Linked DNA regions of Cricetulus griseus. The protein of the gene in region 2 purifies or fractionates together with the protein of the main gene of each other region. This does not show direct contact. Links are inferred from orthologs where the notes say so. Each region holds a gene or a part of one and is shown on either strand. Other genes may lie near its edges.

Region 1 (3,657 bases), on a different chromosome or scaffold from region 2:
ATGGATACTATTTTCAAGGAGTTAGAAATATAAAATGTATGATAACTAAACTCTTTGTTTTAAGACAGGTTCTCTCCACATCTGGCCTCTGCCTAAGTGCTGGGCTCAAAGGTATATGCCACCATGCCAAACCATATCTAAATATGTATTTGCCAACCAAATTCTCCATATTGGTTTGGTTTCTAAAGTTGTATTTCTAGAGATAAAGCCTCTAATCTACATAATTTAAATGCATCTCAGCATTTAAAAAGTCACAGATTGCTTTGATAAACTTAAAACACACACTATGAAGGCAAGCTTACTAGTATTATTAAAGTAGAAGTGAAAGATTTTATATTACAAAAAAAGGAAGAATTCTCAACTGGGTCTTAAGTCTTCCTAAGAAAGCAATTCCAGAAAGAAGCCTTAATACAATTTTTATCCTGATAAAACCACATACTTAGCCAATGGGGATAACCACTGTTATGCCATAGGTGGAAAAGGACATCAGCAAGTTCAACTGTTAACTATCCAATAGCATTACCTTTTAGCCACTGTAACAACTGCCTACCTTGAGAACTGATAATTGAAATGTAGGCTAGCCTAACAGCTCAGCATTTACAAATTAACTGCTATCGGTTAACCATTATACTGTCCCACAAGAGATGAAATTTTATTTTCTATTTCACAAATACTTTCTATTTCAATCTAGATTGAAATTGGGCAAAAGGGGGCTCTGTTTTAGCAGCAAGAAAGCATCCTCATTTAATGTATAAAGACAAAACATGAATCCCTGGAGAAAGAGAGCAATAAAAACAATAGTAAAGGTAGGAAAAAATCTACAACATAAGCAGCAAATGGTTTACATAGTTGATGTGGGGCTGGTTCTTACTCAACAAAAACAAATATATTTAGTTTCAATTATTTGTCATATTAATACATTCTGAGAATAAAGATAAAATTCCATAAAATTCTCTATTAAAGATAATGACATTTCATAGCAGTTCAGAAGGTGGGGGAGAAAAACATGCCAGGATGCTGAGTGTTATTCAAAGGTGCAAATTTGTTTATTTATCAAATGGCATAAACAAACCTCCTTTTTCAGAGATTATTTTTCACACAGTTAGTTAAAGCTGAGTGTTTTAACATGAAGGGTGTCTGTTGACCGAGTTTTGTGTGCTTTCTAGAAAGAAGGAAAGATGCAAGAGGTAAACAGAGCCCCAGAGTTAACCATGTGATTAGAAACCAATTAAGTTAAGCAATTACTGAAGCTGCTCTCTCTCCTTTGGGCAAGAATGGATCACAAATGAGACTGATATAAAAATGAAGATGCTTGCAAAAAGGCCAAGGCTGTTTTAGAGAAAGTATTTTAAAATAGAACCATTTACATGGTAAAATGTACACAGGAATGATTGATGAATGTACATAGAAGATTTATGGTCTACTAGTTTGGAAATATCAAAATGTTTTAGAAATATATCTCGTTTTCATTAATAAATTTAGTTAGTATTCACAGTGAAATAGGAAACAGTAATAATCAAGAGTATGGAAGACAATCACTCAGTGGCCTACTGGTCATCAAGAGCTATTGTATGTGCCCTTACTGCATTTTAAATATAAGAAAACACATTTAATATATATGCACCATGTAGAATTGTAAAAATCCTCAATGCCAATTCTAGCATTGGATTACTTAAAGTGACTTTTAAAAATAATCTAACCCAGTTCATAATAAGAAAAGCTAAAGCAAATTTGTAATATTTGCATCACATCATAATCCTACCTTAAAAGTACTTTAAAGGTGGGACTATTCTACTACCTACCTGGTTTATCCTTCACCCACAAAATGTATTGTAAAAACACCTAAATGCATAAGACATAATAAGACATCAGCTTCTTATATATAAAATATTCTTATAAACTACTCCTTTTTTGACTCCTGACCAACTCTGGAATCTTATCTATAACAACATCTTTAACTAAATGAGGAGTCCTGTCTACTGCTTTCAAATGCACCAACCTTCTCAAAAACGCTGGATGGAGTCATCAAACAAAACCTGATGTTCTGAATGATAGTATCTGTATGTCTCCATCGTCGTCTATCATGTCGCAGCCAAGACTGCACAGCCTCGTACAGCTCTATTTCTGGAAACCTGCTCAGATGATCATTATCCAGGTAAGACATGAGCTTCTCAAAGCTCAGATAGGACAGGAAGTCAGGCCTGGACATGAGTGGCACAAAGTTGTCTAGCAGAAAGGCGTCCAGCTTCTCCCTGACTCCCTCGATGTTAACACCGAAATCATCTAAGAGTCTCATAATTTCTGCACAATTTTCTAAGCAGATTTTGGCTAACAGAAAAGAACAGCAGAACTTCACCACTTCTATTAGCTGAACATACATTGCAGCCTGAAGAATTTCATGAACAGTATTCATACTCAGTTCTATAGTTCCATAATACATAAACTGAAGAACGTGGCTGAAACCGGTAGCTGTTAGACCTTTCAAATGAATTTTGTCCTGATCGCGTTCTCTCATGTCTGCTGTGAACATAATTCTGAAGTAATCACTCTGGGTGGCCAAGAGGGCTTTATGGGCCTGGAACTGATGGTCTTCAATAACCAGAGTGACATCGAGAAGCAATCCCTCCTCATACAGTGCTCTGAACCCAGCAGAGACACTGGTGTCATGGATGGAAGAACAGAAACCTTCCACGTCCCCTGCCATGAATCACCTGGAAAATAGTAATTAAAGAAAATGGTATTAATCATCACAATGGATTCAGAAGGTATTATTAAAAACTGTAACAATTCTTATATCTTAGGTTTACTGCCAAAGTCTTAAAGTATACAAACCATTAGAGAGAAGGCAACCTTGTATGAAAGTTTCCAAGCTAATGCTTTTAGCTTCAAACCTGGTGAAAAGACTCTACTAAAGATATATCTATCAAACTATAGTAACCTGTTAACTTACAAACAATACACGGCCATCTGACTTGCTTTATGCAATTCATCAAATATATATATGCCCCCAAATTAGGAGTACAAAAGATTTCATAAGTAAATACCTAGTTAAGGAAAAGCCAAAACAAAAACCAGAAAATAAATTATACCAAAAAAAAGGCAAATTTGAAAATTCCTAGAAATTCACCCAAAGTAAGTAACTGGATAAACATGCCAAGTTGTGCAGATAAAATTCTTAGAACTATTTATAATAAACTACTATAAAGTATCTGGCACAGTAGCATGCATCTGCAGTTCCAGCTCCTCAAGAGGCTGAAAGAAAAACATCACTCTAATCCAGAGTTCCAGGCCAGCCTGCACATGATGGAGTGAGAAAAGGAAACAGGGAGAAAGGGGTGTAAGGGAGGGTGATAAACATAGCATGCCGAGAATTCAGTCAGCCTGATTTACACAGCAAGTTCTGGACCAGCTGCTGTCTTGGGCTACAAAGACAGACCTTCCTTGTCCACAAAAAAATAACTTCAAAAGCTTGACACTTTGGGGGTATATGGCACATATCTACAATCTAAGCAGCACTCGGGAAGCAGAGACAGGAGGATTGCATTAAGTTCTAACCACTCAAGGCTACATAACAAGACACTCTTTAAAACGAAAAACAAGTCTGACAACAGATTAATAAATAAATATGGTTAATGGTAGATTACAGGTAAGAGTGGT
Region 2 (3,657 bases):
GCTTAATGTTCAGAAGATAAACACCAGCATACATGTCCCTGCATATTCTCAGGCATGTTTCCTGTGTTTGCTCAGCTTTGCTTAGATCACATATTCATCCATAAGACATGTCATGGGGCAGAGCAACAAATTTGATGAGTGACTGGGCCAAGGCAAGGGCTAACTGCTGGGCTGGTGTGAAAACAACTCTTTGAGGAGCATGGGGATTAAGCTGGAGAAGGAGGTCGTGGAAATCAATTTGATGATAAATACCAGGCAAAGAAAGGCATTAACTCAGTGTGTCCTGATACATCATTTAAAATCTAATGTGCTTATTACATGGATATATATTTAATAGGTACATATTTAAAACTTAGGGCAGCTTTTGTTTCCTGTGGTCCTGGCTGGCCTTGCAGTTGCTGTGTAGCCAAGGATGACCTTGAACTTCTTTCTGTCCCCACCCTCTCTGAGTGCTGGGATTATAGGCATGTGCTTCACATCCAGTTTTAGTGTCTGAGCCTTGGTGTAAAATGTTGGCAGTGACACTGTAAGTATTACTAAGTACACTAAGGTACTTTACATAAGTCATAACAAAGTTAGCAAGTGCCTGGCTTACAATGAAGTCTGGATGAATAATTACTAGTGTTTTGTTTGGTGCATTATATTCTTGGAAAGACTCCCTTGGCCCTATTTATTTTAAATATAATTTTGACAAGATCTGTATTACTAGAAGTAGCAGAATTAAAAAGAGAGCAGGCTGGGCACAGTGGCGTGTGTCTATAATGCCAGTCTTTGTGATTTGAGAGGTTGAGTCAAGAGGATCAGGAGTTCCAGGTCTTCCTCACCACGCTGAAAGCTAAAGGCCAGCCTGGGCCACATGGGGCCATCTTGTTTTAAACAAAAATAAAGGAGGAAAGCAATCATACTAGAAAATATTATGTATCCCGTGTGCCAAGCACTGCTAAGTGTCTTATGTATGTTGTTCCCTTAGAGACAAATATATTTATAGTCAGAAGTGACACCTGGTGGCAGGGAGAGAAAACTCTAAGACAATAGCAATAAAGGCAGTTGAATATACCTGCTTAGTCCTGTGACTGACTTTCCCTGTATTCCAGCATTGCAATATGAGGACATGAATAGTTGGGATGAGTGTAAATTATTAAGTGCCTTTACTACTAAGCTGACTCACCAGCCTGATACAGGGCCTTGCCTTATATATAGCCTTGACTAGCCTGGAACTCATACTATAGTCAAGACTGCCTTGATTACATTTATAGTTGCCAGTTTTAGATTAAAACTAAAAAGACATCTCATAGCAGCTTTTTAAAAATATTACAGTTAGCCCTTGCTAACATAGTGGTATATGCCTGTAATCAAGCCTGAGTCATTTGACACCCTGTCTCAAAACAAATAAAATGAGAATATTACAATTAAGCCTGGAGGTGTAATTTGGTGATTTGTAAAATACATACATATTTGGAAATGGTATGTGTAATAGATCCTCAAATGTAGGTATGAATGAGGACATATTGCAATACTCTGATAAGAACAGTCACAAAACTAGCTAATAATTATTAAGCCTTTCTTAGGTGCCCTGGACAGTCCTAGAGTTTTAAGGTGGAAATCATTGCCACCTACTTCCATTTTTAAGAGTTCCAGGAGGCGTGGTCCAGGCATTCCTCATAGCCTTCATAATGACAAAACTTGATTTAAGCAAAGGAAAAAATAACACATTTAATCTTGAAATTAGGTTCTAAAATTTTAAAATCAAATTGGTAGATTTTAGGAGCAGTTTTTATAGCTATGACCTAACTTCTTCACTGTCTATCCATCTTTACATTATTTAGATATAGAATGTTAAATTAATTTACATAAAAATTAGTGGATTTTGTCAGGCATGGTGGCGCATGCCTTTGATCCCAGCACCGGGAGATAGAGGCAGAGGGAATCCCTAAATTAGAGGCCAGCTTGGTCTACACAGCAAGTTCCAGAACAGCCAGGGCTACAGAGAAACCCTGTCTCAAAAAGAAAAAAAAAATTGGGTTTTTAGCCAGGTATGGTGGTACACACCTTTATTCCCAACACTAGGAATCAGAGGCAGGCAGATCTCTGTGAGTTCAAGGCTAGTCTGGTTTACATAGTAAGTTCCAGGACAGCCAGCGCTTTGTAGTGAGAGACTCTGTCTCAAAAATAAAAGCAAGTGTGTGGGGGAGTGGGTAGAATCTTGGGCAGTGGGGGTGTGGGGCTGGACAGAATGGGTGGTATACCTATAGTTCCAGCTCCTCAATAGAGTAAGGCCAACTTGGGCAACTAACAAGACCCTGTCTCAAAACAAATACAAAGGCTTGAGAGTATAATGCTGTAGTGGAGTGCTTGCTTATATCTACATGTCCCTGAAGGCAGGCTTAGCCCTGGAAAAAAAACAGAATATTTTCATGATGAGCCTATGCTGTGAAATGACATGACACCATTTTCTCCACAGAATGCAGACTATACCACTGGCCAGGTGTTTGATTTGTCTGAAAAGTTAGAGCAGTCAGAAGCCCAGCTGGGACGAGGGAGTTTCATGTTGGGTTTAGAAACACACGATCGGAAATCAGAAGACAAACTTGCCAAAGCTACTAGAGACAGGTAAGTGTTCATGTGCAGGTCCTGCCCTACTCTTCTCTCAAAATTTACAGGAAGTAAATCCTGATCCTGTGGTTCAGTCAGCTACAACTTGGGAAATGCCTGAGTATTATCACACTTTCAAATTTTAGGGGACATAAGGCAAAATAGAAAGCTCAACTCAAAGATCTAGGAATACCATAGCCACATGGTGTACAAGGAAAGCTGGCCCCTGACTAGATCTTTTTTCAGGGGAAGGGCTTCCAAAAGCATGCTTACCCTTTTCCTCGACTAAACATTTTCTGAAGAATTAACATTTCTTAAATTTGCCAAATTTCAGATTCCAGAATATTGTGGAAAAGATTCTCTCTTAAGTCGTTCTTTCTGCACTTTAGTATCTCATGTTTTACTTGCTAATTATTTCCTTGGGATGTGGTCTCTGATAACTTAGATGAGAATGTGACCATTGATGACAGAATGTACGGGTTGAAAACACTAACATTTACTGCCACAAAACCTCAAGTTTTAATCTGATACTGGCAGAAGAGAGAATATTTGGGCAGTTATAAGCTGGTTTGTTTGGTGGAGGGCGGGGGCTGTCTTCCCTCAGTTCATAGCATATTTCCACTCTTGGGATGTTTTTTTTTTTCCTTTTTCATAAGCTGTTTCTACTCCTTGCCAAACTTGAAAAGCAGAGCCTTCCTCCATCTCCTGGTGTCTGCCAGGATTTCCACCTGTACTGTGTTTTTCTCTTTAACACTAATGAAGTTGTCTTTGAGCATAAAGCAAACAAACAAAAGCACTGTTCTGTAGGGAGAAGGGAGGGGAAGGTGAAGTTTATCCTGCCACTGGAGTTAGAAGTACCTCATTCAGCTCATCCTGGTGGAGAAAGTGGCTCAGTGGCTCAGCACTTCAGCACTTCCCTGTCGGGCATAGGGCTCTGGTCCATCCCTGGCACCAAAAACCAAAACAAGAAACATGCCTTCTTTCAGAAGGTGCAGTGGCCACACATTGGCTTTGGCTGTCTCAGTGTGTGAACTCATGAATGTGTCTGCATTTGTTTTCAGTGCT
Region 3 (2,630 bases), on a different chromosome or scaffold from region 2:
GGTGTGGGTGCTGGGAACCAAACTCAGGCTCTCTGGAAGAGCAATGCATCTTCTTTACCACTGAGCCATTTCCCCAACAGCGCCCAGCCCCACCCACGCTGTGTGTGTCACTCAGCTACTCCCTTATCCCTTCCTTCTCCTACTCCAGGGGGTTTGCTGATGAAAATACTGTTGTAGCTGGTTCCCGGGTGCCTGGTGAGGGCTCCCAGCCTTGGCAGGGGTTTCGAGTCCAGCTTGGAGGCTTGCTTTTGAGGTTTTGTTTTGTTTTTAGGAGTTTATGATCACAGGCCTCTTCTGCTAACACTTCATCTGCTCTGATTCCCACAGGTGTGTAGGCTGTGAGGTCGTGCTGTCCGGCATCGAGGAGCAAGTCAGCCGTGCCAACCAGCACAAGGAGCAACAGCTGGGCCTGAAGCAACAGATCGAGAGTGAGGTAAGCAGGTAGGGAACAGGTCAGCTACAGCTACTGCCCTGGGCTCCTGGCCTGTGCACGTGCTGGATGTGGCTGAGGCAAACTGATAAGATAATCAGGATCTGTCAGGTTCTGGACCTACTTTGCTATCTGCCATTCCTTTCATCCTGATAGGTTGCCAACCTTAAAAAAACCATTAAAGTTACAACAGCGGCAGCTGCTGCAGCCACTTCTCAGGATCCAGAACAACACCTGACCGAGCTGAGAGAACCAGCTCCTGGCACCAACCAGCGCCAGCCCAGCAAGAAAGCCTCAAAGGGCAAGGGGTGAGCCCGTGCGGGGAGCCGCTTGCTTCTGGGTACCCCACATTTACCTCAGGGGCCTCAGCCTGGCTGCTCCACTTGCTTTAGTCATGTGCATGGGGTCGGGAATGGGGGTGTCCTCCAGGAATTAGGGGACCCCTTGCATCCCCTCTCTCTCTCTTCCCCTTGCCAGACTCCGAGGGAGCGCCAAGATTTGGTCCAAGTCGAACTGAAAGGACTTGTTTCTTCCCTGGGAATGTGGGGTCCCAGCTGCCTACCTGCCTACCCCTTAGGAGTCCTCAGAGCCTTCTGTGCCCCTGGCCAGCTGATAATCCTAGCTCATGACTTTTCATCTCCTCCACCCCCAAGCATAAGCCACATCCCCTATAGGGAGAAGGCCAGTCCAGGTCACGTCTTGTTGGTACTTGTTATGTGTTCCATTGCCTCTCTTCCCTGACACGCTTGCTCTCATCTTCACTCGGCACTGTGTCTGCCCATTACCCACGTCATCAACCAGGTTGGCAGTCCTATGGAGGGTGCTTTCTCTTCGCCACCCACAGGTGTTCTCTACCACGCCCACCCCTGCATGCCTAACCTGCAGTTCCTCCTTCCCTGTGCCTATTGGGCTGCACCTGAAAAGCTATTGGGAAGGGTGTCCTCCACCTTCATCCCAGCCTTAGAGTTCTGGAGCCAGTCTGCCATTCTGGGAGTCGCTGAACACTTTTCATCCCAGAATCCCATCACACTACAGTTGTTTCTTGTCCTGTCTCATCTCCTTGGGCCTGGGAATACTGTTGCTTCAGTGACCCCAGAGCCCCAGAACAGCTATTTTTGAGATGTTAAGAAATGGTTCTTTGTTAGCTAATCATCTTAGGAAACCCAATGGAAATCCTGGAATGATTTGTATTTCTTCTTGTGATTTTGGTGGGGAAGGGAATATAGATTGTATATTAAAAAAAAAAAAGGTATATATGAATAGGTCTATATATAACATGACACAGAAATAAATCTAAGAGAAATCTGTGTACAAAAATGCCAGGAACTGGGCCTCTTCTGTCTTTGATGTTTGTTAACAGGGAGAAGATCAATCCCAGTCCACTCTAAAGCCGAGTGCTGGGAAGTGAAAAGAACCAGATACTGTTTGCAGACTCTTGACTAGCAGCCAGGAGGCCTAGACCCTGGACAGATTGCTCCATACCTCAGCCCATGTTCAGAAGTAATGGGCACCTCCTGACCACCACCATGTCTTAACAGTGGAGATGCAGACTGACCATCACTGTCCCTACGCTCCAGGACCTGCAGTGTAGCCTGTTTCTTTCACCTTGTAGAATTACAAGGGGAGGTGTTGGTAGGGAATTTGAAATTTCACATTGAAAACGCATAAAACTATTAGCTTTGTTGATCTTTGGCCCTTTTGTCCAAATTAGAGTTTCCCAAGAAGTATGGCAGGAGATCGGCCTAGAGCACTGCTTGCTTCCTAGAGGAGGGGAATGCAGTTGAAGGTGGGCAGTTGAACCCTCACTTGGTGTGAAGTGTTGTCTCTGAGGGGCCTAGTGGGTCTGGTTGACTGGGCCTGTTGTGTTCTCTAACTGGGGATTTAGGAAATATCTCCTTTTTAAAAACAATTTTTTTTTGATAGGGATCTCTATGTAGCCCTGACTGTCCTTCCCTGTGTTGAGCAGTGGAGATGCTAGTCCCTGGCCTAGACTCACAGAGTGCTGGGATTAAAGACATATGCCACCATGCCTGACTATAGATAAATTACTCTTAACTGCTCCTAGCAGTCATTGGACTATAAAGTAGGGACAGAGTCCTGGTGTCTTGTTTTTGTTTGTTTATTTGAGGGTAGTTAATGGTTTTGAGACAGTCTTGTGCATTTCAGGCTAGCTTTGAACGCGCTATGTGGCTAAGGATGA

What was found.
Region 1: the proteins of Cops5 (region 2) and Klhl15 purify together in Homo sapiens (affinity purification with mass spectrometry; 3 studies listed by BioGRID and IntAct, with this or other methods). This does not show direct contact. The link is inferred for Cricetulus griseus from reciprocal best matches to the Homo sapiens genes COPS5 and KLHL15.
Region 3: the proteins of Cops5 (region 2) and Cops7a purify together in Homo sapiens (affinity purification with mass spectrometry; 19 studies listed by BioGRID and IntAct, counting the BioPlex papers as one, with this or other methods). This does not show direct contact. The link is inferred for Cricetulus griseus from reciprocal best matches to the Homo sapiens genes COPS5 and COPS7A.

Annotation. Positions count from the first base shown.
Region 1 is NC_048604.1:75,724,255-75,727,911, forward strand, and holds part of Klhl15 (kelch-like protein 15), read right to left. Parts: intron 2,712-3,657; 5' UTR 2,705-2,711; coding exon 2,000-2,704; intron 1-1,999. UniProt on the Homo sapiens protein: Substrate-specific adapter for CUL3 E3 ubiquitin-protein ligase complex.
Region 2 is NC_048595.1:150,156,372-150,160,028, forward strand, and holds part of Cops5 (COP9 signalosome complex subunit 5), read left to right. Parts: intron 1-2,461; coding exon 2,462-2,610; intron 2,611-3,657. UniProt on the Homo sapiens protein: Probable protease subunit of the COP9 signalosome complex (CSN), a complex involved in various cellular and developmental processes.
Region 3 is NC_048601.1:21,457,260-21,459,889, forward strand, and holds the end of Cops7a (COP9 signalosome complex subunit 7a), read left to right. Parts: intron 1-327; coding exon 328-433; intron 434-586; coding exon 587-738; intron 739-907; coding exon 908-947; 3' UTR 948-1,790; coding exon of another isoform or gene 1,791-1,818; 3' UTR 1,819-2,116; downstream 2,117-2,630.